Diceros bicornis minor: one gene and its partners. The protein of the gene in region 4 purifies or fractionates together with the protein of the main gene of each other region. This does not show direct contact. Links are inferred from orthologs where the notes say so. Each region holds a gene or a part of one and is shown on either strand. Other genes may lie near its edges.

What was found.
Region 1: the proteins of PPP2CA (region 4) and CCT5 purify together in Homo sapiens (affinity purification with mass spectrometry; 4 studies listed by BioGRID and IntAct, with this or other methods). This does not show direct contact. The link is inferred for Diceros bicornis minor from reciprocal best matches to the Homo sapiens genes PPP2CA and CCT5.
Region 2: the proteins of PPP2CA (region 4) and ANKLE2 purify together in Homo sapiens (affinity purification with mass spectrometry; 4 studies listed by BioGRID and IntAct, with this or other methods). This does not show direct contact. The link is inferred for Diceros bicornis minor from reciprocal best matches to the Homo sapiens genes PPP2CA and ANKLE2.
Region 3: the proteins of PPP2CA (region 4) and PRR14L purify together in Homo sapiens (affinity purification with mass spectrometry; 3 studies listed by BioGRID and IntAct, with this or other methods). This does not show direct contact. The link is inferred for Diceros bicornis minor from reciprocal best matches to the Homo sapiens genes PPP2CA and PRR14L.

Annotation. Positions count from the first base shown.
Region 1 is NC_080759.1:53,832,474-53,839,563, reverse strand, and holds the start of CCT5 (T-complex protein 1 subunit epsilon), read left to right. Parts: upstream 1-4,075; 5' UTR 4,076-4,125; coding exon 4,126-4,230; intron 4,231-6,984; coding exon 6,985-7,045; intron 7,046-7,090. Other genes in the region: ATPSCKMT (ATP synthase subunit C lysine N-methyltransferase), read right to left, coding at 3,679-3,694. UniProt on the Homo sapiens protein: Component of the chaperonin-containing T-complex (TRiC), a molecular chaperone complex that assists the folding of actin, tubulin and other proteins upon ATP hydrolysis.
Region 2 is NC_080774.1:431,044-438,260, reverse strand, and holds the start of ANKLE2 (ankyrin repeat and LEM domain-containing protein 2), read right to left. Parts: upstream 3,012-7,217; 5' UTR 2,997-3,011; coding exon 2,810-2,996; intron 1-2,809. UniProt on the Homo sapiens protein: Involved in mitotic nuclear envelope reassembly by promoting dephosphorylation of BAF/BANF1 during mitotic exit.
Region 3 is NC_080774.1:25,087,684-25,095,475, forward strand, and holds the start of PRR14L (protein PRR14L), read right to left. Parts: upstream 3,015-7,792; 5' UTR 2,911-3,014; intron 1-2,910.
Region 4 is NC_080740.1:53,370,270-53,377,553, forward strand, and holds the start of PPP2CA (serine/threonine-protein phosphatase 2A catalytic subunit alpha isoform), read right to left. Parts: upstream 3,015-7,284; 5' UTR 2,779-3,014; coding exon 2,677-2,778; intron 1-2,676. UniProt on the Homo sapiens protein: Catalytic subunit of protein phosphatase 2A (PP2A), a serine/threonine phosphatase involved in the regulation of a wide variety of enzymes, signal transduction pathways, and cellular events.

The DNA of each region.
Region 1 (7,090 bases), on a different chromosome or scaffold from region 4:
TTAGGAAGGTGCTAGTGTTTGAGAGAAAGCAAGAGTTTTAAAGACTTTTTTTTTTTTGTGAGGAAGATCAGCCTTGAGCTAACATCCATGCTAATCCTCCTCTTTTTGCTGAGGAAGACCGGCTCTGAGCTAACATCTATTGCCAATCCTCCTCTTTTTTTCCCCAAAGCCCCAGTAGATAGTTGTACTTCATAGTTGCACAGCCTTCTAGTTGCTGTATGTGAGACGCGGCCTCAGCATGGCCGGAGAAGCGGTGCGTTGGTGCGCGCCCGGGATCCGCACCTGGGCCGCCAATAGCGGAGCGCACGCACCTAACCGCTAAGCCACGGGGCCGGCCCCTAAGACATTTTCAATTACACTTTCCAGCATTGTATGGAGGAACTTACATGCTACAGTAGTAATCATACATTTGATTACTTTTTTTTTAAAAGTCAAGGCACACATGTCATGCCTGTGTAAAATCATCCTGTAAGCATTTCAACTGTAGAGTCGAGTCGCCAGGGGACTTGAATCACACAATCCTGGAGTCTCAGAACCTTATTAGTTGTGTAAAAATACATAAGTGTTGCTAAGACTCGGTTTTCTCACCTGTAAGATTTAGAAATAATACTATCCTCATGGGGTTATTGGGACAGCTAAATAAACAACGCAGATACAGCCCTTAGCACAGGCCTGAGGGAGTAAGAGATGATTATTAGCCTTTATTATTCTCAACACTATCATGAGGGAGTGGCTCAATAATTTTTAATACCTTTATTGAGATGTAATTTATACACCGTACAATTTTCCTATTTAATGTGTACAATTCAAAGGTTTTTAGTATATTCACAGATATGTGCAACCATCACCACAGTCAAATTGAGGACTTTTTCATTACCTCAAGAAGGAAGCCCTTATCCTTTAGCCATCACCCCCACCACCCTCCCCCTCACCCCCTAGGCCCAAGCAACCACTAATCTACTCTCTGTCTCTATAGAGTTCCCTAGTCTGGATTTTGATGAATGGTATCATATAGTATGTGGTTTTTTGTGACTGGCTTCCTTTTCTTAGAATAAAGTTTTCAAGATTCATCCATATTGTACCAGGTATCAGTAATTACTCCTTTTTATGGCCGAATAATACTCCATTGTATGAACAGACCACATTTTGTTTATCCATTTGTCTGCTGATGGACAGTCTCTCTAGTCAGCATAAGCCAGTAGACAGTTGACTAGACAAACATGAGTCAGACAATCCAAATTCTGTTTCACTTGTATAGACACGTACTCTTCAATTTACCCTGCAAAAGATATAATAAAGAGCTCCTAGTGATCCAGGCCCCCATCTAGCCTGTGTGAGTGATGGGGTCCATTTGAGACAGTTACAAGGCAGGTTGTGAGAAATGCTCTAACATGAACAAAACGCTGTAGGAATACAAGGGGAGGTAGAGGAAAGACTGATCCCAACAACGGAACCAGGAAGGTTGGCAGAGACAGAATTTGAGCTGGGCATGAGGGTGTTGGAAAAAGCGCATTCTCAAAAGAAGGACGCCTTGGAACCAAGGCATGGAGGGTGGGGAAAGCATTTGCGGAGCACAGAGTGAGAGATACAACAGGAAGGCAGGGGACATGCGGATGCCAGGCAAATTGTGTACTTTATTCTTGTGCATTGGGATGAAACTTTTTGAGCAGTCACTACAATACTTGTGTTTTCTAAGAAAGGCAACACCAGCAGCAGTGTGTCCCTTGATGAAATCACTGAATTTTCTCTCAAGTTTTTATACCTGCAAGTCTTTCAACTTCACAAAAACTTGTATAAGCTTTTGAAGACGTTACTACGTAAATCCAATTTTTTACTATATTGTTACCTCCATTCAATAAAAAATGTACTGATTTTTATCATTGAAAACCAGTCTCTAAAGATTCAAAACTAAAATCAAGACTATTTCTACAAGTTTCGAACCCTTTTGACGGAACACAGATTCATAAGACTATTTACTATGGTACAAATAAATGACATAAGACCTCTGTCAGATCTGCTCTGACAGTGGCCACTGGCTTTTTTTCTTGAGTGCTCGGAGGGACTCATGCCTTGAAAATAAAAAAAGACCCAAAGAGGTGAACTTCTGTTGTGTCGGTAGTGAGTTTTGATAATGGTTGAAAATCTCAATTTTCAGCGACAGATTTGGGTCAGCTAAAGCTAGAAGCAATTACAGATGTACAAAAAGGTACAAAGGGTTCTCATCCAAGTTCATGCCAAAGGAAAAAGATCAGGAGGAAAGAATAGGCCTCTTTGGAATTGTGACCTGCCACACGTGCTTAAAGTGGGGTTTATATTTGAATGTCACAATGTTAAAGGCTGTTCATTGTTCATTTGCATATGCATGCCAGTTCAGTAACTACAGCGTCTATTTTATGTCCCTTTAACATATTTTTTTTGTCCCTTAAGAAGCATTTCCCGTACTGGTCTAATGTCATTGGTGTCTTTTCGATATACAGCACCTATTAATATTAGGAAAAACTTTTTTTGCGTGTTTGGACAGGAAAAAAATAAACTGAGCAAAGAACATCATTAGACATTTCCCTTACTTCACAACAATCTAATGAGCCAAATGGATTGCAGAATTCACCATTTTGAAGGAGGAAACACTCAAATTCACCATAGAGTGAAGTGAGACCTGACTCCAAGATCTAAAATGTCCTTAGAGCATCACTCCAGGTTTAGAGGGTAAAAGGGCCAAGCATTAGGAAAGGTTAACGGATCACCAACCATCCAGTGACAAAGCCAGTTCTCGCCTTAAGGCCAGGGTCAAATGTTATTACCCATGCACTGATTTCATAGGTATGACACAACAGGGCAAGTTCCTATTCTATGGCAGTTGGGGTGCAGGAAGGCTGGAAACCTATAAACACAAGCTTGTAAAATATTAGGTCGTGATCAGTGCTCTAAAGAAAGGATTTAGAGGACGGGGTACTACTTAGCTAGGGTTGCCAGGAAAGATCTTTCCGAGGGAGCACAACGCAGGGCTTCCGAGTGGAGCCCTTAGGCAAGGCTGTGCAATTTTGCTTCTTACCGGCTAGGTGTGAGTGGAGCCCTTAGACAAGGCTGTGCAATTTTGCTTCTTACCGGCTAGCTGTATAATCTTGGGCAAGTTACTGGACCACTTGTGCTAAACGGGGATTTCTCTAACAAACATTTAGAGCTTGCTAAGGGCCGGGCACTGTTCTCCCTGAATCCGTACAGCAGCTGTGTAAGGTGGACACCATTGTTATCATTACCATTTTTGCAGACAAGGAACCTGCGGCAGAAAGAGATTATGTCACCTCCCCAAAGACCCAGCTAGTTAAGTGGCAGCAGGGATTCCAACCCAGACAGTGACTGCAGTACCCCTGTGTCTTAAGATCGCGCTAAGGATTGAGTTATTCACCCCAAAGCGCTCAGAACAGTCCCGGCAGCTGGATCCCGAAGCGCCAGCGAAGCGCCGCGGAGGGGGCACCGGGCAGCCCCGAAGGGCGGAGGGCGCGGCGGCAGGAGCACGGCGCCCCGAACACCAGACTCCGGGCCAGGGCAGCGGCCAGCGGCTCGCACGCCCGCCCGCACCCGACACGGACGGCCGGACGACGAAGCCCCCACCGAGCGCGACCCCCACGCCGCGCCCGCCCCCAAGCCCACGTTCCGCGCTATGCCCGCCGGCCTCACCTCCGCCTCCCTCCATCGCGAGAGTTCCGGCAGTTGGGGGAACCCGGAAGTGGATTCTACCATCTTTTCGGAGCCGGGGAGAGAAGGAGCGAGTAAATAATGCTCTCAGTAAATGAGTTCCTCCTTGGGACCCGCTATCCAGAAACTCTCCATTGTATAGCTTTAAGAAATGACTAAATTCGAGCTACTCTCGGCTTGTGGATTCTAAAGTTCCCGTCCGTGTCTTCGCACTCCCCCCCCACAGCTTCCTGGATGATACAAGTTTCCGAAGGCCGCTGATTCCAGAAGGTACTGTCTGGCGTTAAACTAGTCTCACGCGAAAAATAAGTCTCACGCGGCCTGTACTGCGCGTGCGCGAACTGTGCCGCGCTCCCGCGAGAGGAGGGTGCGTTCTCCGTTCGGAGTGGTCCTAGCCGGTTGCGGAAAGGTAGCCGCTGCTGCTGCGCCATGGCGTCCGTGGGGACCCTCGCCTTCGATGAATATGGGCGCCCCTTCCTCATCATCAAGGATCAGGACCGCAAGTCTCGTCTTATGGGACTTGAGGCCCTCAAGGTAACGGGACCGGGACACACTGGCGCTGGGAGAGGGGAGGCGGCCGAACCCGGGCTCTGCGCCTGCGCGGGCCTGGGAGCGGGTCTGCCATGTGCTCCCGGGAAGGCCGGGGGAGCCCCGCTCCTTGAGCTCGGGGAGGCCGGCGGATAAGCCTTTAGCCCCGAGTTGGCGGTAGGGTGGAGCCGCAGGCACCGTTCAGAGCCGGTGGGGCGGCTTCAGTTCCTCGGTTCCCCGGCCCAGCAGTGTTGTCGTCAGCAGGGTGCAGAGAAGGTAGTCTCAGGTCGCCTGGCCGGTGCAGGCTCTGCCTCCTGACCTTCCCTGAGTGTCCCTGCAACAGCCCTAAGAGAAACGGAGCCTCATCATCTTTGTCACCTCCCAAAGGCGTAGTCATTTACCAAGTACGTCTGGTTTGAGCACCTTTATGTGTGGCGTATTCCTGGATGCCTGTCGTAAAAATAAAAAATAGACATCCTTAAGGAAGAAAGGACTAGCGCAAGAAGGAAAAATGGACACCAGTAAGCGTCATACCGGGCAGCGTGTGATTAGAATCGCGGTTATGGGAGAGGATGCAGATAAAGTTGGAGGGTGTCCTCCAGACTGGGTAGAGGCCGGCTTCTGATCAAGGGTGGAGTGATGTGTTGAATGGGAGAGAGCCAGGGTTCTGGGGGAGGAAACAGTAAAAGCGAAGACCCGGGCAGGAAAACGGGGCGGCGCGTTGTAGGGCGAAAGAGCGGTCTGGTTTAGGTGGAGCGTAGTCTACTTTAAGTTACAGTAGTTCCCCAGAGTGGAAGCTCTTGAATGCCCCACAGTCAAGATGTTGTTCCATGGGAAGGAGGGGAGCCGTTGAGAGAGTTTTGAGCATAATCGTAATTTGAGTGAAGCTGTACGTTAGGAAGTAGCATGTGGGGTGGGCTGGAGGAAAAAAGGAAGACCAGAGGCGTTAAATGCAGCATAGCAGGAGTCCAGGTGAGGAAGGGTCATCTGAACAGACGCTGACGGGAAACACGGAGGAAGGGACGCTTTGAGAGGGCACTGACTTCTTTAGGGTTTGTTATAAAGTGGAAGAATCCGTGATGTTGGTGTGGATAGGCCTTGTCACTGGGTCTGAGGTGTCTCTGTTCGTTTAGGGTCTTAGTGCTTTACTTAAATTAAGAAACAGTACAGTTCTCCCACAGGCTGGTTGTTTGAGAACAAGTTACACAACCTCTCTGAACCTCCTTTCTCAGTGAGAGTGTGCACCTCTGTCAAGCTGAGGATGAGAATTAAATGAGGCTAGTTTAAGGAGTGACCACACAGTGCTTGAATGATGGTGGGCGCTCAGGCCGCTGGTATTATTACATGTTCAGGTCTATTTTTCACTTAAAGCGAACAGCACAGAAAGTAACATCCAATATAATAGTACCCTGGAAGCTGCAGGTTATTTTGCATTAGCCACTGTGTTAACCGCTTTCCGTACGTTATTTCATGGTATCCCCACACTGTGAGTTAGGTATTGTTGCGCTGTATTGGAAACGGCCTCAGAGCAGTTAAGCAATTGCTTCAAGTCGCAGGGCCATGATTGAAGCCCCCCTCTGTCTGACTCCAAAGCCAGTGGTCTAGAGCAGGGCCTCAACCTTGGCACTACTAACATTTGGGGCCAGATCCTTCTTTGTTGTGGGGCTCTGTCCTGTGTAGGATGTTTAGCAGCATCCCTGGCCTCTGCCCACTCTGTGCCAGTAGTACCTCCCTCGCCAGTCATGACAACCAAAAATGTCTCCCAGGGGCCAAAATTGCCCCTGGTTAAGAACCACTTCCCTCTGATTATTACCTCTTAAAAATTCCATTATACAGACATATCAATCCAAGTATATTTTGAGGATTACCAGTATTTTCACAGAGCCAATGAACTCTGTCTTTTGTCACCTGCCAGGTGAGTAACCAGGGACAGCTTCACAGAACATGTGCATTTGAACTGCTTTGAAAGTTGGTCAGGATTTTGGTGGGGACAGGGCCTTCTGTGCATCACTACCTCAGGGATCAGAGGACATGTTCCGGAAACAAGAATAGACCATCCTCGCTGGAAGGGAGCTAGGTCTCAGATTGCAGAGGGCATTGAAGACAGAGCTGAAGCTTTTGGACTTGAGTGTTGAGGCGCTGGGGAGTTGTTTAAGGTTTGGGACTAGTAAGCAACACCCTTGAGAAAAATGGGTGGCTTAGCTGGATGTAGGATGAATTTGAAGGATGGGAGGTGAGATAAGAGACCCTTGAATTCTGTAGGATGCTGTGGATCTGGGTTTAGGTTGGTGATGGCAAGAATAGAAAGAAAGGAAACGACATTTGGAGGAAAAACGGGTATAATTATGTGTGGGAACAGAAAAGGATGCTTTCAAGCTTCCAATACTTTCCGTGTTGATAACCTTGGCAGCTGACAGGCAAGGGTGACTCTAAGGTATATGGGTTCTGCGTTGGCTTGACCGTTTGAGAGAAGAGTGCGTCTCTGCAGTAAACCGTAGTGTGACAGTTCCAGGTGCTGCGTGTGTACAGCTGGACTCCTCACGTGATGTTAGCCTTGCAAAGTCCTACAAGGCCTGTCAGGTCAGACTGCCCCTGCTCTTGGCTGTAAGGTGGGCGGTAGGAGAACCTGCCTCATAGATGTATTGATTCTAGAGAACAGGAACTATGTCATGAGTGTTTTTTATAATCATCAGCTGTATGCATTTAACTATTAAAATTATATGTACTTGAATATTTGTTTTTTCTGTCTGCTTGATTTAGTCTCATATAATGGCAGCAAAGGCTGTAGCCAATACAATGAGAACATCACTTGGACCAAATGGTAAGAGTCTCTCATTCTGTGTTGTTTTAACAAAAGTTTTAAATC
Region 2 (7,217 bases), on a different chromosome or scaffold from region 4:
GCTATTTTATGTGTCCTCAGCAAATAAGTGGATATATTGTGGCTAATGAGAGCCAGGTTCCTCACTGACAGAGAAGGGAGTTACAAATAAGCAGAGGGGGAGGCTAGAGTAGGGGTTAGCCAACTAGTATAAAGGGCCAGAGAGTAAATCTTGAGGCTTTCTGAGCCATAAATTCTCTCAAACGCTCAAGAACAGCTATAGACAACAGAGTGTGGCTGTGTTCCAATAAGACTTTATTTACAGGCCAGCCCCGTGGCTTAGCGGTTAAGTGCTCGCGCTCCGCTGCTGGCAGCCCGGGTTCGGATCCCAGGCGCGCACCAACGCACCGCTTCTCCGGCCATGCTGAGGCCGTGTCCCACATACAGCAACTAGAAGGATGTGCAACTATGACATACAACTATCTACTGGGGCTTTGGGGGGAAAAAAAAGGAGGAGGATTGGCAATAGATGTTAGCTCAGAGCCGGTCTTCCTCAGCAAAAAAAGAGGAGGATTAGCACGGATGTTAGCTCAGGGCTGATCTTCCTCACACACACAAAAAAAGACTTTATTTACAAAAATAGGTGGGGGCCAGATTTGGCCTAGCAGGCCATAGTTTGCTGACTCTTGGGCTAGAATTGGAAGTATCTGCAGGACCTCGATTGACTGATAGACAGAGACATTAAGATATAAGAAATTGAGTTAGGTCTGCAGATGGGATAATGCTTCCTGGTTTTCCTACTTATAGTATGATTATGTAGGATACTAACATTGGCGAATCTAAGTGAATGGTATACAAGATTTCTTTAACTCTTTATTTTGAACAATTACAAACACAAAAAGTTGAAAAATAGTATTGAGAGGTCCTGGGGACCCATCACCTGGCTTCCCCCAATGGCAACCTCTTACACACTGTACTGCATTACTCAAACCAAGAAACTCACACAGCACAATGAAGCAGACCATGCACCTCATCAGTTTCTGCAGTCACTCTTTTCTTGTGTGTCTTTGTATATAATTCCATGACCGCTTATCACACATACAGATTCATAACCAATTACCGAACTGTTCCATCACCACAAAGATCTCCCTACTGCTGTTCCTTTATAATTACATCCAATCTCCTCCACCATCCTCCACCCCTGGCAACCACTAATTTGTTTTCTATTGCTACAATTTTTTTCATTTTGAGCATGTGATATAAATGGAATCATACACTATAGACCTCCTGGGATTGGCTTGTTTTACTCAGCATAATGTCCTTGAGATCCATCCAAGTTGTTGAGGGGATCAACAATTCCTTCTATTTCAATGCTGAGTAGCATTCCATGATGTGAATGTGCCAGTTTGTTTAACCACTCACCTCCAAGAGACATCTGGGCTGTTTCCAGTTTTTGGCAATTACAAAAAAAGTTGTAAACATTCGTATATGGGTTTTTGCATGAAAATAAGTTTTCATTTCTCTAGGATAAATGCCCAGGAGTGCAGTGCAGGTTTAATTTTTTGAAAAAATGCCAGACTGATTTTAGAGTCGCTGCACCTTTAATAGTTTCACCAGCAGTAAATGAGAGACCCAGCTTCTCAGCATTTAGTAACACTGGTATTTTTTATTTTAGCCATTGTAATAGGTGTGTAGTGATATCTCATTGTAGGTTTAATCTGTCTTTTGCTGCTGGTTCGTGATGTTGAAGATCTTTTTACATGTGTTTATCTGCTTTGTACTATTTCTATAATTTTTTATAAGTCTAAAATGCTTTAAAAATTAAAGACAAATTTTTAATGAAAAGAGACACTCCAAACTCTCATCTCCTAGCCCCATACCCTATTGGCCACAGTCGTCCTTTAGCTTTAGTGTCTGGGTACTTTTTAGTCTCCGTGTCCTGCACTGAATCTGTTGACAGTGTTGACAGTGTAAGTGGAAAATCAGCACGCTATTTACTAGAGCTGCCACTTAAAACATTCTTAAGGGGATGAGAGAAAGTACAACAATCACCAACCCAACAGGACGGAGGGCCAGCTGGACCTGGTGTGAACAAGCCTACATCCCCGGCTGGCCTCAGCCTCCTCCTCGTGTTATCTCGGCCACACCCTCCTGGGGCCTGTTTCCTCAGCTGTAAAACCAGAACATGATAAATAAGTCACCCCAAGGACCCCTTTAGCCCTTAGATTCCACGGTGAGGTCATCAACTTTGCCTTCTGCTAATAAATTTCATCTTACTATCCTGAGACTAGAGAAACTCCTGTTTACCCTGCAGAAAGACACGACATTTTCGGGCAAGAGAGTGAACGAAATGTGAACGAGGACGCCCTGGATGCACGCAGGGCGCACACCGCCTGTAAGCCTGTACACAGAGGGGTGAGCGGCGCGCAAGAAATAAGCACAGACTGCGGGAAAACGGAAGAGGGGCTTCTCAGTCAAATCAGGGATTCAAACACAAGCGAACAAGCAGAACTGCCGAGAGACTCGGCACCGGAGCGTCCAGCCTCACAGCTCTTCCACGGTCTGTCCGCTGAGAACGGCTGAGTTTTACCCCAGCTCTTTTCCCAGAACATCACACTCAGGCCATTGCGAGGGCCCAGGGCGGCGAAAGGAGGAGGACTCGCAGAGGGAGGAAGAGAGGGGAAGGGAGGGGCCCAGGATAGCGAGACAAGGGGGGCCTGGGGAGGAGGGGAACGGGGAAAAGGGGAGGAGGAGGGCCCGGCGACGGAAAACGACCCGGGATGACGAATGAAGGGGGTCTGGGGAGAGGAGGGGAGAGTCTGGGAGAAAAGGAGGGGGACCGGGGAGGGGAGCCGGCGTGGGGCGCGGGTCCACTAGCGGACGGGCCTTACCTGGGTCGGGGGCCGGGCCCGCGGCCGCGCAGAGCAGGGGGTCGCGGACCCCACTCCGGCCCAGGCCCCGCGGCCGCTTCTCCAGCCGCCGCACCAGCCAACGCACCGCGATCAGCAGCACCGAGGCGCCCAGCAGCTCCCAGGCCAGCGCCGCCCACTCGGCCGCCGCCAGCTGAGGCCACAGCATCGCCGCCGCCGCCGCCGCCGCCCGCCCGGCCGCCGCCGCTGCCGCTGCCGCCGAGGAGGCGCGCGCCCTCAGGACCCCGCGTCCTGGGCTGTCCGCGTCACTGCCTGACGGCGCCCCGCCCGGTGGCGGCCTGCGCGTGGTCGGCGCTCACGCGCTGGTCAGGGCGCTCGCCCTCGCGCCCGGCGGCCCGTCGAAGGACGCGGCCACGGCCCCTGGCGGCGCGGAGCGCAAGAGCGCACCGTCAGGCAGTGGCGCGGGCAGCCCGAGACGTGGGGTCCAGAGGCGGGCGGGGCCCAGGGGCGAGCGGGGTTCTGTGGGCTTGTGGTCCCCAGGCGGGCGGGGTCCCCAGGGGTGCGGAGTCCTGAGGGGGGATTCTGGGAGGCGCGGGGTCGCCGGGACGGGGTCCCGGGTGGGAGGGGGCTGCTCGCCGCGCCGGGGTCGCCCCGGGGGGACGGGTGAGGCAGGGCCGGTGACGAGCCCTGCAGCCCCGACCCCGAGGCCCCTCGTCGCGTGTCCCTCGCCGCCCCCGAGGTGAGGACCGGGGCCCGGCGCCGACACCGACGTTCCCGCGTGGGCCGCGGCGGGCAGCGAGGCGCCGAGCCGGCAGGTGAGTCTGCAGGTCGGGAGGGTCCGGGAGGGCTTCAGCCGGCGGCCAGGCCTGCGGGTCCCCTGGGAAGGCCCGGCCCCGCCCCCGGGAACCGGGACTGCTCCGCGGGGTCAGAGCGGCCGAGGTGTGTTTTATTTTTACTGACACTTTCAAACGTCGCAGTGTCTGCTGCTTGAGAATTTAGAGACGAGTTTCTCCGTGGGAAGAAAGCAGGAGACTTTCCAGCCGCAGCGTGTGCTTGGGAGAAATGTTTCCTGTTAACTTTGCAGCTTTTTCTGTCTGGCTTTAGCTGGCCTGTCGGATTTTATTTTTTTAGTCTGAGTTAACGTATTTTCTCACTACCCTGGCCTTGGGGACACGGAGGGCTTCCCGGAGGGATGGATGGAAGCAGCTGTGCCGAACGTCTTACCAGGCTCCATGCCCTGTGATCCCATTTGTCTGACGTTCGCGCGAAGGGACAGGGAGCAGAGCAGTGGTCGCCGCGGGCCGGGGAGGGTGGACTGTAAAGTGACCTGGGAATTTTAGGGACTGATGGAAGCACTCTGTCTTGATGGTGGCGGTGTTCACCCAACTGCATATGCTTGTCAAAACTTTCAGGTGTGTACAATAAAAAGGGTAAATTTTACTCTTTGTGATTTATACATTAACTTTTAAAATGGAAAAACAAAGACTTAAAGAAATATAATTGACATCCTTGGTAAAAAGAAAAATTTATTGGATGGTCGATTAACAGTCGATTGGGCACAAAAGAAGAGAGAGTCAGTGAATTTGAGGATGAGTGAAATGCAAATTAAGCCACAATGAAATACTCCTTTACACTCACCAGACCAGTTAAAATTTGTCAGTCTTCTAATTTTTGGTGAGGATGTGGAGGAATTTTGGAATTCTCATAGTCTGCTGGTGAGAGTGTAAAATGTTAACCACTTTGGAAAACAGTGAGGCAATTTCTTTTCAAGTTAAACAGACACCTCCCTCTGGCTTAGCATTGCAGCCCTAGGTATGCAAATGGAAGTCCACAGAATGTTTATAGCTTTATTTGTAATCGCCGCAAGCAGGAAACACCCAGGTGTTTGGATAAGAGGATAAACCCCAGATGAGAGGATAAACAAATGTGGAATCGTCATAGGATAATGCTGTGGTGGTATACTGTTCAGCAACATGGGTAAATCTGAAAACCATTCTAAGCAAAAGAACCCCCACACAAAAGTACATACTATAAGATTCCGTTTACAAGAGTCTCAAGAACAGGCAAAGCTTATGGGGGTAGAAATCAGAACAGGGTGCCTCGCAGTGGGGTGGTTAACTGGGAAGTGGCACGAGGGAACTTTTAGTGTGAAGGAGACGCTCTGCATCTTGCTTGGGTTGATAGTAACACAGGTGCACATTGGGTGACATTTGTCAGAACTCACCAATCTGTACACTTAAAAGCTATGCCTTTTTTAGTGTAAATTTTGTCTCCATTTAAAAAGAAAGAGTGCCTTATTAGAATGAAATCTTACCGTTTGTTGTTGTTTTTAATTACTAAGGACCCTGAGAACAGATCTCTGTCCCCAGCCGCTCTCCAGTTTTGACCTTTTTATAAATATGTGTCATTGTGGCGTGATGAGAGCACCAAGCTTTGGGTCAGTATCCTGTCTGCCTCCTACTTGCTAGGTAACTGGGTGAATTAATTTCCCTGTGCGTCAGTTTTCTCAGTGGTAAAATTGGGGCTATTAATTACACCTATCTCAGAAGTGAGGATTAGTATGTGCCAAGTCCTTGCTACAGAGTCACCACACAGTAAGGGCTTAATAAATGTTAGCTGTTATTACTGCTTTTATAGTTTAAATAACATAGAAACTTACATATATATATATACACATGCCTTTAAGGGGTAGCAGGGTCCTTCCTCATCATAAGGGATTTTGTTATAGTAATCATAAATCCCAGTAGTTCAGAGAGGAGAGGACTGATTTGAGAGATTGTGAATTGTGGTAGAGGCTGTTGCCGGCAGCATCCATTCTCCATTTAATAACAGAAACTCCCAGCTGTGGCTGGACACGCTGCTGTCTAGCTAAAAGCCACATCTTGTGGCACAGTGACTAAGTGAAGGCAATGGACAGTGGCGTTCGCAGCTAGTGACTTGCACCCTTGAACGAGGGCCTGCAGCGTGCCTTCCGTGTGGTCTTTCCTTTCCACTTGGGAAATACAGACAGGAGGCTGGGACCTGCAGCAGCTGTCCCAGGCCACAGACGGAAGCTGCACATTATGCAGAGAGAGAAGCCACTTTTGTCCTCAGCACCGTGAAGCTGCCACTTGGTCCTGTTTCTGTGCTTGGGCTGTTACTTGAAAGAGAAGCTTCTCTCATTTCAGCCACTGAATTTTGGGGTTTCTTTTAGCGGCTTCATTAGCCTAGTCAGTATCTTAATACCAGGATTTTCTGTGGAATCCAGCTAACAACAGGGATCCTATTATGGCTAGATCCTCACCACTATCTAATGCCATCTACACTCGATTAAACAAGACTGGAATAATCAAGGGGGAAGAAAAGGAAAACAGTTCCACTGTTAGGAAGCCAACCCTGTTGTTGGCCACTATTTACCTTTGAGGTGGAAATGAGAGCATTTGAGACGTAAATCCTTGCAAGGTAGAAATGGGTTTCCAACGAATGAACAGAAATTAAGCTTAAAAGAATTGATGGTCTTTTCTGAGAGGAGCAGGTTTGATCTAATTCCTAATTGTAGTTTGTCTAACTCCTACCCTAATCCCCAACTCCATTTTTGACACCAGATCACGAGAGAGCCAAGGGACCAAGTCAGCCCCAGTGATTGAGTGGAGAGGTCTAGTTTTCACATGGATCTTGAATATCCTTCAACAAGAGAAGGAAAAGCATGTGGAGGTCCAGCCACATATGATGTATCATAAAGTGGGACTCTAGTCAAGAGAGCAGCCCATACCAGGTGATTCAAGAGGGAACTGTAGTCCTGGGAGTGATAAGGGACAGCCACAGCAGGAAGCCACTGTGACCCTCGGAGGAGGGCACAACAGAGCCCAGAGATAGAGAAGATGCAGCCATTGAGGAAGACTTGCTGGCAGGGGAGCCTGGAAATGTCATTTGCAGATTAGCAAAGGAGTTCTTCTCCACAAAAGTGTCAGGTTCTTGCAGAATTTTAAGAGATCTTCAATAAAGGGTAGATATTATTTACTCCTAATTCATAAATCTGCTCTATCAGCAGTGTTCTGTTTTGGTTGACTATATGTAGCCACCATTTCTACACCAAATTAGCAAGGAAAGAAATCTCCCAATTGGTGTTTGTTTACATGTCTCTAAAGTCACTGAAGTAGGCTAATTAAGGCTCATCTCTTCCATGGAATCCACTGAGTAGGGTAAGAGATACTGTCCTCCAGCCCTGGGTGCCCTATGATCTAATAGGAGAAATAGGGACTCTCCACAAATAACTATAATAAAAAGAAACATGATGCAAAATGGTATAAACTTAATTCCATATATGTAAATGCACACAGGGAAGGATCACTTTGAGTTGGGAATCAGGGAAGGATTTATAGAGAGACCAGCTGAGTTAGGTCTGTTTTCTGCTCACTGTCGCATCTCTAGGGGACAGCGGTGTGCTGGA
Region 3 (7,792 bases), on a different chromosome or scaffold from region 4:
AGGATTTACAGCTTAACCCTAATGACTTATAACCAACCTACTTGGTGAGGACACCAAGTAATTATCTAGTTTGAGGTATAAGCAAAAAATAAACCATAGATTCACAAACAACTCTTGCCAGCTGCTACTGGCTTGTCATCTTTACTATAACACAAATGGGAATTAGATTGTTTAGGGAAGGAATTTATTCCTGAAAAAAGAAGACGTTATAAATTTATAGAGAGTATTAGGTAAAGTTACTCCAGTAAAAGAAGAAATTCTTTTGAATTGAGAACAATCATCTCAAGATCTTTCTGTCTCAAATGTAGATGCCGTGCTGGGAAGCAGTCTAGGTATTGGTGTCCAAGTCAGGAGACCAGGGTCCCTATCCTGCTAGCTGCATGGCCTAGACTGTGTCATTTCACTTTCCTGGTCTTGTTTTTCACACGTAAAATAAACAAGGTAAACAAAATAATGTCAAAGGGTCCTGCCATCCATAAAAATCCTCTGACTCTAAATGATAACTTTTCTATTTCACTTTGTTTCAGCAAAGTACACCTACAGACACCAACAATGGTGGTACAGAGCTCAGACTAATCCCCATTGCAAGCATCCAAGGGGTAATTTAAGAATACTTTACATACAAAAAAGATGGAAAGCTTTTCTTTCATGTGTCTTCAGGCAATTTGGCGTTAATTCTTATCCCACCAAATAACAAAAGCAAGGGGAAAAAAAACAACAAAAACCAAACTACCAGTGAAAGATTAACATTGCAGCTCTCAATCCCATTAGAACACCTAAGACTAAAAACATGACAAAGTGGCAACTTTTACTTTAGCTGTTCAAATACTCCCCAAAACAAAAGTTCTGGGGGCACAAAGTTTACAGCAATAAGCAAAAAATAGAAAAAAAAATCAAACAAAGAAAACAGCAGAACACAAAACCATGTACCCCAACAATCCCAAGTCGGAAGATCTCCCCTCCCTTTAATTCCAATGCAAAGGGGCTGCTCTTAAAGAACAGTTAGTAACACTGGGAGCTGCCACACTTGTGTCAAGGGGCAATACTGACAATAATGATCAGGCCCTCAGAAGTTCCCAACAATCCTTTCACCTTGAGAAAGGGGCTTTCTTTTCCAAAGATTCGAACACTGTAGCCAATCCCTCCATGAAAGAATTCGGAGAAGGGGCCTCTTCTTGAGGGACAGAGAAAGAAGAATCTTTTAACAAGATCTCTAGACAAACAAAGTGCCGCAAAGAAGTCCACATACTAAACAGGGCCTAGCTCTTCAACATGGAGTGTGCAGAAAATCTCAAAAGCATCATACACTGTTTCCTTTTCCTCTCTTTATGAGCCTGCAGAAAAAGGATCCTTCTATCTCCACATGCGGAGTGGAACAGTGAAAATGCTCCTAATTTCTACTGACAAAGACTCACTGCATAAAAGATTTTCATTTCTTTTTCAAAGGAAGAGAAGAAAAGAAACCATCTGTGCCACTATAAATATAGAGCAGGAAAGAGTCCTCCTCTCATAGGTATAGAGCCTTATTTTTCTTATTTTTCTTGAGAGAGCAAGAGAAAGAAGCTGGAATCTTCCTCTTTGGGGGTGAGGGGTGTGCAGATAGAAGGAAGCTTTTTCATCACTAGAGCAAGTAGGGGGAGTGGGAGAAAATCCAGTCAGGAAGAAGTGATAGTTTCTGTGGACAAAGGAAACGCTGGCTTCTGGTATCAGGTCTCTTTCCCTCTTGGAGTACAGACCTGTTTCCAAAAACAAAACTTTTTTCCTGATTATTCTAATTGAGGCCCTCTATGTTAATTTGGGGAGTATGGTAGGACGTAAAAGTAGCAGAAGTGCCTCCTTGTCCAGCCCAGGGGAAAAGTCTCCTTTCTTGTGAGAAAGGATGGGCTGCACCCTTGTGATGGGGGTGGGGAGGGATGGGAGGAGACATGCATGGAAAAACATGTTTCTCTGTGGAAGATACTAGTTTCCTTTTTTTAAAAAAACAAATTAAGTAACAGTAACAGTTTACCAAAAGGTTACTATGTACTAAGAACTTACACAAATTCTCCTTTAGCCCTTATGACAATTCTACGAAAAGAGTAGCCAAATTAGAGATGGACTAACTGAGACTGGGAAAGGTTAAACAATTAGCCAAGGTCACAAAGATGGGAAGTGGGAGACCCAGGCTTGCAACTATCACACTCCAAACGCCATGCTCGTAACTGCAAGGGAAAGGAGCTCATTGCACACCAAGAGACTTGAGGGAAGAAGAGGCGCGACGCTCCCTCTGTGGACATGATTGGGGGAGGAGGGAAAGGCTGACTTCTAACACTATAAAGTAAATTCAGGGTCTTCCTCTATATCTCGGGGTAAAGGCGAAAAATAAAAGAGGAGAGGTAAGTCTCTCTTTTACAGGGAAGGATGATCCTCTCTGCCACTTTTAGGCAAGTTGAGTCTCGCTCTTCACCTGGAGGGTGCTGACCAACACGGGGGAAAGGTCTTGTTTGGGGTTATCTCTTATCCCTCTTTTAATAAGTTAAGAATCGCCCTCTCGCACCCCGGGAGCGAGTCTCCCTCTGCCGACAAATGCACGGGAGCTGAGGACGAGCGTACGCCCACGACAAGGGGCGTCATCCTCCCCGGGGAGAAAAGTTGGGGGTCCCCCGCCGCATCGAGGTTGAAAGGGAGTATCTCTTCCCCGCCGGAGCCATGACTCGGAGAAGCCGTTTCCCCCTCGCGACGCGGGGCCTGGTCTCCTCCCTCTCCGCGGGTCGTTCCGCCGCCCGCAAAGCAGCCTCGTTCCCTTCGATGCCCCGGGGGGGGGGGGGGGGCGGGCTCCCCTTCAGCCTGCATTGCCCAGTGGAGGGTCCCCTCAGGGTGGAGTGGGACGGGGCGGCTATGCCCGAAGCCTTCCCGCCCCCGGCCTCTTACCCTGAGGCCTGCTCCGCGGCCCGCGCTCGCCCCGCCGGCCCGGGCTCTGCAGCCGCAGCCCAGTCGCCGCCAAGTCTACCTGAGCCTACGGAGCTGAGAGAGCCCGGGGGCGCTCCGGCCGCCACCGCCTGTTCGTCTCTATGGTTAACACCCCCCCCCCCCCCCCCCCCCCCCCCCCGCGCACTTCCTCATCCGGGGCCCGAGCCAGCCATGCGGGCTTGCCCACGTCCCGCCCCCGCACAGCGCGCGCTCACTCCTAGGGCCAGCCCCAGCGGCCCGAGGCCCCGCCCCTGCGGCCCGGACTCTTAAAGGGGAACATACTTTTTGACCCTGTCGTGCTGAGCCCCAGGGCTCAGAGTGTGTCTCCACTGCTACCACTCTGGCCCAGGCCACCATTTTTCTGGCCTGGATGGCTGCAACTCTAGGGGCCTCTCGTCTTCCACTCTGGCAACCCAAAACATCTTTTTATAAGTGGAATCAGTGCTTTAGGTCTTGTCATTCCCCTGCTCCTTCTAATCTCACTGACTACCAATCTGCCTCCAGATGCTCCTTTCTTCTTAGCTTTAACACTAGCTGAAATTGCTTTGTTTCATGTCGTTACTGACTCGTTGATCCTCGTCCCTTCCCACCCTTGTCTGTTTTGTTCGTCACTCTATGCTCAACACCTAGTACAGTGTCCAGCACAAGTAGACTAACTCAACAGACATTTGAAGGAAGGAAAAGACTGTTATTCAAGAGGAAATTGAGGCAGCCACTATGGAAAACAGTATGGAGATTCCTCAAAAAATCAAGGATAGAGCTACCATATGATCCAGCTATTCCACTGCTGGGTATTTATCCAAAGAACTTGAAAACACCAATGCATAAAGATTCATGCACCCCTGTGTTCATTGCAGCGTTATTCACAATAGCCAAGACGTGGAAGCAACCTAAGTGCCCATCAAGGGACAAATGGATAAAGAAGATGTGGTATATATACACAATGGAATACTACTCAGCCATAAGAAACGATGAAATCCAGCCATTTGTGACAACATGGATGGACATTGAGGGTATTGTGCAAAGTGAAATAAGTCAGAGGGAGAAGGTCAAATACCGTATGATTTCCTTCATTAAGCAGTAGATAATAACAACAATAAACAAACACATAGAGACAGAGATTGGATTGGTGGTTACCAGAGGGGAAGGGGGGAGGGAGGAGGGCGAAAGGGATAATTTGGCACATGTGTGTGGTGATGGGTTGTAATTAGTATTTGGGTGGTGAACATGATGTAATCTATGCAGAAATAGAAGTATAATGATGTACACCTGAAATTTATATAATGTTATAAACCAGTTACTACAATAAACAAAAAATTAAAGAAAAAAATTCTGCACATTAAAAAAAAATAAAAGCATTCAGGAATACTAAAAAAAAAAAAGAGGGAATTGAGGAGGTCCCAAGAATGGAATCAAGCTGCCCCAAATCACACAGCCTTGTGTTAAACATAGAAATCAGTTGCTTCTTGGACCTTAACCTGGCTGACTAGAGAGCTAGAGGTTTGGAGGTCTCTGGGAGATTTTAATTCTCTCTTCTCTGATCAATATATCTTTGAGACAGTCAACATGTGGACCATTTTGGCTGAGAGAGTGGTTTTCCCAGCTTTAGTCAGGGCGGGAGATAGACAAACTCAAATGCCAATCCTATTGTCTACAGCCTGTATGAGTCCATATATCGTCCATATACATGTACAGTTCATATATTGGCTACCACAGATGCTGTTGGGATGAACTGACTAGAAATTCACTTTAAAACATTTCTACATTTACGGGCTGGCCCAGTGGCGTAGTGATTAAGTTCTCGCACTCTGCCTCTGCAGCCCAGGGTTTGCAGGTATGGATCCGGGGCGCAGACCTAGCTACTTCTTACCAAGCCATGCTGTGGCGGCATCCCATATATAAAGTAGAGGAAGATGGGCTTGGATGTTAGCCCAGGGCCAGTCTTCCTCAGCAAAAAGAGGAGGATTGGCAGATGTTAGCTCAGGGCTAATCTTCCTCACCAAGAAGAAAGGCAAAAAAAAAATATATATATATATATTCTACATTTACAGTATGCACATCCTCAAGTACTTTCTCAGGCAACTACATGCCTATAGAAGGGGATCTGAGAAACCCATTATTATTGGTTTATCCTTTTGCCTCAGGCTCTAATATGACTGCACAAAACCATTATTGGTATTGTCTTTATTTAAAAATGTGATATTTTGTTCATCATGGATTTTTAGTATTAATTTTGATTTTTAAAATATTGCATTAAATAAATATTCATCTTGCTCACTGAGTTTTTTGGCACCCCCCCTTAACATTTTGTGCCCTACAGCAAGTGTCTCACCACCCTTCCCCACCTCACCCTAGTCCCAGACCTGCTCCTAGCTCTGTGTTAGGCACAAAGGGGTCCAAAAGAAACATCATACATATCATTCAATCTCCTAAAAGTTGAGGAGAGCCAGTTTCCTGATGAATTCCATGATTTGGGTTAGTTACTAATACCCTACCTTCATATAGCACTTTAAATTCTTTTAATTTCAAAGACCTAATGTAACATGTCCCTCACCTCATTTGGCCCTCAAACACCTTGTGAAGGACGAAGGACGTGTACTTTTCATTCCCATCTGACAGAGGAGAAATTTGAGAAAAGAGAAGTATCTTGTGCAAAGCCACACAGCTAAAAACAGGCAGTCATGCACGTGGTTGTAGCACAGTGACTGTAGAACCACGGCCGTTGGATTCCCAGCCTGGGAGCTACCAGCTCCAGCCTTCCCTAACCTTGACCAGCATTAGACAATTTTTAAAACTCTCACTCAGCAAAAAGAGGAGGATTGGCATGGATGTTAGCTCAGGGCTGATCTTCTTCACAAAACAAAAAACAAAAAATCAAAACTTGCCAAGGTTTTTTACAGGTTTTTGCCAAATTAAAAAGTGAAATATTTGGGGCTGGCCCCATGGCTTAGCGGTTAAGTGCGTGCGCTCGGCTACTGGCGGCCCAGGTTCGGATCCCGGGCGCGCACCGACGCACCGCTTCTCCGGCCATGCTGAGGCTGCGCCCCACATACAGCAACTAGAAGGATGTGCACCTATGACATATAACTATCTACTGGGGCTTTAGGGAAAAAAAGGAGGAGGATTGGCAATAGATGTTAGCTCAGGGCTGATCTTCCTCAGCAAAAAGAGGAGGATTAGCATGGATGTTAGCTCAGGGCTGATCTTCCTCACACACCCACAAAAGTGAAATTTTTGCATTTCTAAGATATGACACCAATTATGGACATCTTTCAGGAGAAGAAATCAAATTCCTCTGAGGGTCAGGGAGAGAGAATCCCGTTAGTTCCCTCTGGGATGGAAGAACTTCCCACTAGCCACTGCTGCTAGGACAGAACACAGCCCCGGGATCTGGGTGTGTCCCCTGAACTGGCAACATAAAAATGTGTCTTACGTTTAACATTTTATCCCTGAAAGTTTTTGTAACTGCTGCAGTCCTCTTGATTATATGTTTTTCTTTAATATAAAAAATTACAATTATTTAATAGTTATTTAACTTCTGAATCCTAAAGAAAAACATGGATGCTTAAGGAAGCTCTTACTCGTCTTACCTCAGGGGCCCCCTGAGCCTACTCTCAAGTATCCCTGTGGTATACCACGCTTCTTTCTTTCAACGTTCAGAAATTTTGCGAAAACCATAGGTCAATTAGATGGAGTCGGCAACTAGTCAGGAGCCGTTGGCCAGCTGCAGGCACAGCACACGCAGCTCTAAGATGTCCCAACAGATAGCGGCTTAGGCTGAGCCCTTGGGTGTGGACATGAAGATGCTGGTTAAACATTCAGCCTTGGGAACCCAGCTGGACTCGACCAGGTCAGTCTTCGTCCTTGCTTCCAGGTCAGTCTTCGTCCTTGCTTCCTTTCGAGGAGTTTCCTGTTTCCCTGTCTGTAAATACACAATAGTATCTGCCACGTAATAGGGATGTGACGATTACATAAAGATGTCTGTGAAAGCTATGGTAGCTACTAATAAGCCGAAGCACAGAACGTCATTTGGGGTTTGGAAGGATTTGAAAAGTCCCCCAAAGTGGGTATTTCCCAGCAGAGGCCACTGCACTAAGTTGCACGTGCTCAGCCCTTTGCACCTTACAAACGTTCTCCCAGAAACATTATTTTGTGCCTCTCAGCAGCCTGGTGAGGCCAAGCGAGGGTCCAGAACATTCCCTTTACAGATCCGGGGAGACTCGCCCGAATTCGCCCTGGTGGGGGGGGGGGGGTCACCGAGTCGAAAACGAAACTCTTGGGCTCGGATCTATTTCGCAACGTCTGGGACGTAAAGGACTTCCTCTCGAGGGCGAGCAGCAGCCCCACCCCCGAGCAGGAACCGCAGCCAGCCCCAGAAGCTAAAGGCCGCACGCCACGCCCCGCCTCAGGCGCAAGTCCCGGATGGGGAAGTGGCGCGGACACCGAGATGAGGCGGAGGCCAGGCCAGAGCGGCCCGGGGTGGGGGGGGCGAGAAGGGGGCGGGGCCCCATGGGCGGAGCCACTGGAGCGGCGCGGGCTCTCAGGTGAGCGCTCTGGGGCTGGGGCTGGACGGGCGGCGTCTCGAGGTCGGGCACGGAAGCCCCTCGGACTGTGGGGGCGTAGACGGGGTGTCCAGAGGAGGCGCAAGGGCCCCGGGCTGAAGCGGGAGGGGGCTCCGCAGCTGCCGGTGAGTGGAGCTGCCCGCCCGGGCCCGAGTTTGGGGAGCGTGAGGGAGGGGGCCGTGTTCCAGGATCGAGTCTTGGCCCCGCCGCCAATCCGCTGTGTGACCTTATACGAGTCTCTGTCCCTCTCTGAGCCTCGGTGGCCTCAGCTGTGAAATGAG
Region 4 (7,284 bases):
ACTATCACCAAATAGCTATCCCTAACAAGTATCTCTTCTTTAAAGAAAGAAAAAACTATTATACTAATAAAAAAAAATTTTCCCTCCAGATTTTCAAAATATGTAGCTTTCACCAGATGTGCTATTGGCCATACAAATATTAACAGGGAAAAGAGAACTTTTGTTTTATTAGAAAAACTTGGACAAAAGATTATTTCAAGTCATGCATCCTAACATCCCACATACCTAAAAAGCTGCCTTCAAATTAATTTAGTTTGGAAAGTTAATATAGTTCCAAAAGTTGAAATACAAGTTAAAAACAGTATGAAAGCTGTGTGATATCCTCCCAAAAGGATCCATTTCTTGGAAACCTAACTTCAAATATTATTTCCATCATTTTGGCTCTAAGAACTAAAATCTGGACACACTGGACGAGCAATGGAGATCTAAGCATGAATTAATCGCACTACATCTTCGTTTTACAAAGATGTGGGAAACAGTGAATATTTACCAGAAGCATCAAAGCTTCAGCCACCCCAGCTTAACATCCAAAGTTATCTTCTAGTCTCCAATACAAACCCTCTACTTCTGTGGTCCGTCTACTATCAATTGCCAACTAGATTCAGTCACCTTGAGACTAAGTATGATTATTCTTCATTGCTTTTCATTCCTAAGAGTAAGCAATCTTGGATATTCAATAGGTGTTCAATATTTATACACTAAGTTCTAATTTACAATGGAATTGTATAATCTCAGAAAATTAGAAGGGACCCTGGAACATCCATTTTAACTCTTTATTTTACAGACAGGAAAATGTGGAGCAAGTGAAGTGGTTGCCCGAAGGTCAGTCACAATTATGCACTCTACGGCAGAAAGAGGATTAGTGTCCAGGTCTAACTTGAAGTCCAGTGGTCTCCCAATTACATCATTACCTCTCTTCTAATGTTTTCTACACAAATGACTGGTCATCTAGCCAACTGCTGACTCAGTCTTTATATAGAGTAAGTACTAAACTCTAAAAGTCATTAAAACCAGCACTTATAGTACCTAGAAATTAAGACCTAACAATATACATTAAATAATTTTTAAAAGCCTATTTCTAAACCTTTAAAACAAATACCATCCTCACTTGATGCAAGAGAATTAAGGGTCAAGAAGCAACAAAGAGTACACGCTACCCCTAAAATTCGGCTCTAGGAGATGATGTGTCACCTCATCCACTAGTAGGAGAGTTTTGTTCAGGCTTGGGATAAATAAATCTGAATTTGACTCACTTAAGTTGCAATTAATCACAACACAGTTGCTGAAAAAGCCTGTTTTAGGAGCATATACATCAAACTCATGAACCTAATTTTCACATCAAACCACAAACGAGTCAGCAGAATTGCTCTCTAATAACTCTCTTCACTAATATGAGATGCTGATATTCCACAATTCTGTACTAAAACGAAATGCTGCAAAGTTAATTTTGAAAAGGAAAGTCAAAATATTCATAGTGGAGATAGCATTTTCTATACTTTAGAAAACTGAGTTATAAGACTTCAAAAATACAGCATAGCTAACAGCTCAATAGGCTGTTTCCACAACCCTTAGGGAAAAACAAAACAGAATTAGATAATTTAAAATGGATTTATTAAGTGGATTACAACATTCTATTTTCAACATCTGTGAGATAAATTATTCAAACACTAAGCACAATGTCTGGAATACAGTAGCGGTAAATCGACAGCTATTATTACTGCTGCTACTACTACTTAAAGCCAGAAAAATACAAACAAGTAACTTTTCCAACAAAGAGCCAAGATATAAAATTTACTGCTTAGTTTATATTGCTCATTTTAAAAAATAAATGGCAAAATGCCAAGTACATTAACCTTAAAGAAGGGTTTCACACTACCCAATTTGAGTCAGCATATAAACCATAGATTAAACTGACACTTGATTTCCAATCCCAAAGCTCCTTATTAAGTATGACTCACCAAATTCTCCATTTCTTCCAACTTTGAAAAATAAACTATACTCCTTCCCTGTAACTACCACCATGACCTTCGTAGAAATTAGATTAGAAATTCATTTTTAAATTCTTAAAAAACACGCTTTAAATAAGTCTCTGGAAAAGACTGCTCGATGAATTTAACACAAACCACCCAGGGTAGTCCTAAAGTTGTGTGACCTTTAGCTAGGTCCTGGGATCTGGCCTACAAGCCTGCCTTTGGGGGGACCCTCTGGACAGCTTTGGACCCAAATATCAGGCCTGAGTACAAGCAGAAAGCCTCTTACCCACCTCACAGGCGAGTCCTAGGTCCCATTCCCAGGCCGCAGAACCCAAGCGATCTATCCGGATTTCAAAACCCTCCCCGACCCCGACACGCACGGTCGCCGCTACCCCGCCACCTCGCCCAGCGCCCAGGCCCGGAGGCTCCGAAGCCCCGGAGCCGGCTGAGCGGCGCCATTTTAGGCGGCGACAACCAATCCCTGCGCGGGAGGCAGGGGGCGCCGGGTCGCCCGGGAGCCGCGCCGGGCGTCGGTCTGGGCGGCTCGGGGGGCCCGGGCCGGCGCCTCCGCCATGTTGCACCTCCCCACCGACACCGACACCGACACCGACGCCGCCGCCGCCGCCGCCGCCGCCGCCGCCGCCGCCGCCTCCTCCTCGGCGGCCTCGGCCGCGGCGGTGCGCGCAGCCGGAGTGCAGCTTACCTTCTCGCATAGGCTCTTGACCTGGGACTCGGACAGCTGCTTGCACTCGTTCAGCTGCTCGATCCACTGGTCCAGCTCCTTGGTGAACACCTTCTCGTCCATGATGCCACCCACCCGAACCGGCCGCCGCTCCGCGCTACTCCCGCGCCGCCGCCCGCACACGGGCCACACGCACACGCCGCTGCCGCTGCCGCTTCCCGGGGTACTTGTGTGGCGGCTGGTGGCTGCTCGGCGCTAGCGCTGACCCGTTGGCTCCCCCCGCAGTGCTCGGCCACCGGCCGCTGCCCTCCTCCGATCACTCTAGCCCGCGAGCTCGGTCTCTGTAATGGCGGCCGCCGGCGTGGTGACGTCACGCCCGGCGTCAGGAGGCGGCGGGGTGCGGAGGGGCAGCAGGGCCGAGACACCGGCTGCGCAACTGCGAAGCCAACCCTGGTCGGCCGCCAGACCCGAGTCGGGGCGGGAACTCGGGGCCAAGGCGCAGGCGCAACGTAGCCGGCTGGTAACAGGCACCTTCGCTTTTAGGGCGTGGTCCTCCAGAAGGGAGGGGTCGAGGGGGAAGGGAAGACCGAGTCAGAGCAAGCGCGGTGCTTCAGCCGGGAACCCGGCCGATCCCAGGGCCCTACGTCCTGCTCGGCGCGGGCGCGGGCCTGACGCAGGCGCAGTCCGGAGACTTTATCCCTAAGGTGGTAGGCGTCGGGTCGTCACCCGGCGACTGCCGCCAGGTCGCGGAAACGAGGATGGCGACCCCATGGGTCCTCCGTGGTGCAACAGCGCTCGAATTGCGTGGGATTCCCTCATCTTTGGGGGCAGGAGTCGGCGCCGAGTGGTTGGAGTGGCCGCCTCCGCCTCTGGGCGCGGCCAGCGCCTTGTAATTAGGTCGCTCGTAGGCGGAGGAGGGTGTACCTGCCCCGGGAGTGCCATACGGTGCGCCTGACTCCCCCGGCACACACCTGTCCGCGGGCCTAGGTGTGTCGTCGGGCGCGATGGCTGAGGCTTGGGCTCTTCTCTGGGCCTCGGACCGTGCCTGGCTGCCACACGCCCCGCGCAGCCTCTCTCGTTGTCGCCTTCAGCCCCAGGTGTTCGCCTTCCTCCGATTTCGGTTCCTCCTGGGAATGAGAGGCGTCCCTCCCCCCCCAACCCCTGCCCTCCCTGGCCTGCTTTCTAGAGGGAAGGCCGTAAGGAGATGGTCACACTCGTCTTAACCGCGACCGGATGGTGTTCGAAGCGGCTACGATCCGCACTTTCAAGAAAGCTCGGATACCCTAGGATCCGACCACGGTCTGGCTATGAATCTCTTTGGAGTTTGCGAAATGTTTTCACATTCCATTGACTCTGCATTCACAGAAATATTTGGCTTTGTTGAGCGCCAACTAGGTGCTAGATCTCACGCCTGGGAGACAGAGGTCATCCAAACAGTCAAGGTTCCCTGCTCTGGTGTAGCTTGTATTCTCCCAATAGCACTGCTTAAAAACGGTCTGGGGACAGATAGGCAGAAGAGAGATTGTGATGTCTACAAGACCTGAGAGAGAGAAGCTTTTCAAAGGACATTTAACCTTAAAACGTAGGGCAAGAGCCGAACCTGGTCCCCTGTTTTCTAGACTCCCTACCCCAAAAAGCAGGCGACCCTGCCGCACGCAAGCGCTCAGGGATGCACTGGAGGAGAGTAGTGCTCGCTGCAGCTCTGAGGGCATTTTCCTGACCAACAGGCTGCAGAAGGCCGTGGATGCCCAGATCAGCCAGTGGCAGGACTGAAAATTCTCCTTTATCCAAGACAACCTGCTTGGCGAGGCCGACTGGCTTGGCCTTCCCGGGCTGGAAATTGCAATTCTGCTTTCCCTTCGTATTTATCAGTAGCGTGCCCAGAAGAAAGCACCTCAGATCTAATCCCCAAAAGGCTTATACTTAATTTACCAGGCTGGAAAGAAGTTCTTTTAGCCCAAATTCTGACCATGTTTTGCAGTTAACATCCCCAAGTAATAAAGGAGTAAGAGTTGAGACCATGTAGAATGAATGAGGAAAAAAATGTAGCTTGGTGCCATGATTATAAAGCCATGTTCAGTGTGCTATCCTGTCTTGTTCTTCACTGTTGCCCGGTACCTGTGTGAGAACTGGTCCTGTCTCAGAGGGCAGGAAGCACTCAGGCACTCAGAAAAGAGAGGTGACTTGCCCAAGGCTGCGGTGGTGGTCAGGATTTAAAACTTCAAACTTCCCAGTGCAAGGTTTCAGTCACACTCACACAACTGACCTCCAAGGACTGCAATATGGAACAGGGTCAATATAACTTCCCTTTGCCTGAATTCTCTTATCTGGAAAGGTGGGGATGATGTTAGTTTGGTAGATTAAAAAGTATTGAGCACCCACTATGTGCTAAGACTATAATGAGTGGGTTTTTCCGAAGTGCTGTGAGCTCCTTATTGGTAGCATTAATGGAGGTATTATTTATTTTCTCTTGATGCAGATTACTTGGCTCACCACCACTACAAAATGAAGGGAAGATATAATTATATATACTTAAAACATCCTGCCAAATAATTAGATGCTATGACTTAAATTCTTAAGGAATGAGTTCTAGGAAGCTCTTATTAGCATTCAAGCAGTGAAGTAAAGCATACATGATTATAAACAATACAGAACTAAATCAGAATGTCTTTTCCTTTAGAAGAAAACTAAAATGTTTCCTTACTCTCTGGAACTCAAACTAGCTAATGGATCTGAAAATTCAGTTTGATTAATCTGGTCTAAACTAATTGGACCTGACTGTCTCAGTTCTAAAGCTGAGGAATGCTTTGAACAAAAAGTTAAAAGTAAACCAAAAAGAACGGTCTTTTTAATTTCTTGGCAAAAACCAGGGAGTGACTATAGCAAATATGCTTTGAGGAAGAATCTTTGCTTGGATGGCAAATTCAGTACACAGCGAGTCTGAGTGTTGCCTATGATGTTCAAATATAGCTATAAATAAAAATCATCTGATGATGGGGGAGGGGTAGGAAGAAGACAGCCATGAGCAAATGGCTTCATAATGGGCACTCGTAGCCAAGGTATAAAAATTGACATTAAACATGGAGAAGGAATGAGATGTGTCTTATTTGTCAGCAATTCTCTTGGCCTTATGTTGGGTTTATTTTGTTGTTGTTCCTTCCAGTTCCCTGACTTCTAAACTTACTGAGACAGAAAGTAGAGCCACGTAGGTGAGAAATGGCTCTAGAGTCAGTGGGATGGACCTGGTTTAAATTCCGGTTCTGCAACTGCCTAGCTGTGTGAAATCTGGCAAGTTACCTAACTTTTCTGAGTCTCAGTTTTCTCGTCTATAAAATGGGGATAATTGTAATAGCCAAATAATAGAGTTCTCCTGAGAATTAAATGAAATTATGAATGTACAACACCAAACAGTATATAATAAATGTCCAGTAAGTATTAGATATTATTATTATTGTTGTTGTTGTTGTTGTTATTATTATTATTATTATTTCTAAGTAGTCTCTGATCCTAAATATCCTCTAATGCCAGTTGCAGCCCATCAATACCTGCTGTGAAATACATAGTGGTCTTTGGAAATAGAATATAACTGTATCTAAAACATCATACAGACACAAAGCCATTTGATGAAGTGGGGATGGAGGAGGAAATTCAAGGAAAGAGAGGGAGAGATGGAACAAAAAGAACACCCCCTCTATTCCCTTGCCATCAAGAAAACATTCAGAAGGCTTGTGTAGAGAGAAAGTCACTTAGGAATAAGTCCAAGAATTAATACAGTGGGTCAGTCTTATGCTCCTGTTGGCTCAAAATCTTATATCTGAAAAGGGTGACTTATCTGATAACATGCTCTTTGCACCAAGGCCTTCTATGCCCCTGAAGCCCCAAAATAAAGACCCGGTTATTTAACATTTTAGTGGCTCTACCCATGAGAAGCCTACCAGGCTCTGGCCAACTGGGCCTGCCCAACACCGGATGTCTGCACTCAAGATATGCAATGATGCTTGCAAATCATTGGTATCTATCCCTGTTCCTCTCCTTTGTGGTTGTCAGAAAAAATAAACTTATATTGCCCTTTCACCTGAAATTAGAATTTTATAGATATGGCAAAGACTTTGTGGCCAGGAACTTTGTCACAGATATAATACAGCTCTTTCTCCCAGCTATTGCAGTTTGGCTAAATAAAAAAAGAGAGAGAGAGATGACCACATCCCTTGGTAATGTCCATGATGTCCAGATACCATTCTCAGTTACAGCAGAAATGTTTTCCTCTGTTACAGAAAAAAAATCTCTGAAATGGAATGCAAAGTTTATCACTCCAGAACACTGGGTAAACCTTAGGAATACTGTCACCAACTTTGCAGCTATTAAAAATCTTACCACAGAAGTATGTTTATTGACATAGGACACTATTTTCAATATATTAAGTGAAAAAAATACCTTATAAAACAGCATGTATGATATAACCCTAATTTTATTAAATATATATTATAAATATATGCTAATAAGAGACTTTAGAAAGATACAGTGAGGTATTAACAGCAGTTGCATCTGGTGAGTGTTTTTTATTTTCTTCTTTTTTCTTACTTGATTCTTCTATAATGAAAACATTGTTTTCATAATTGTGAAAAGAAA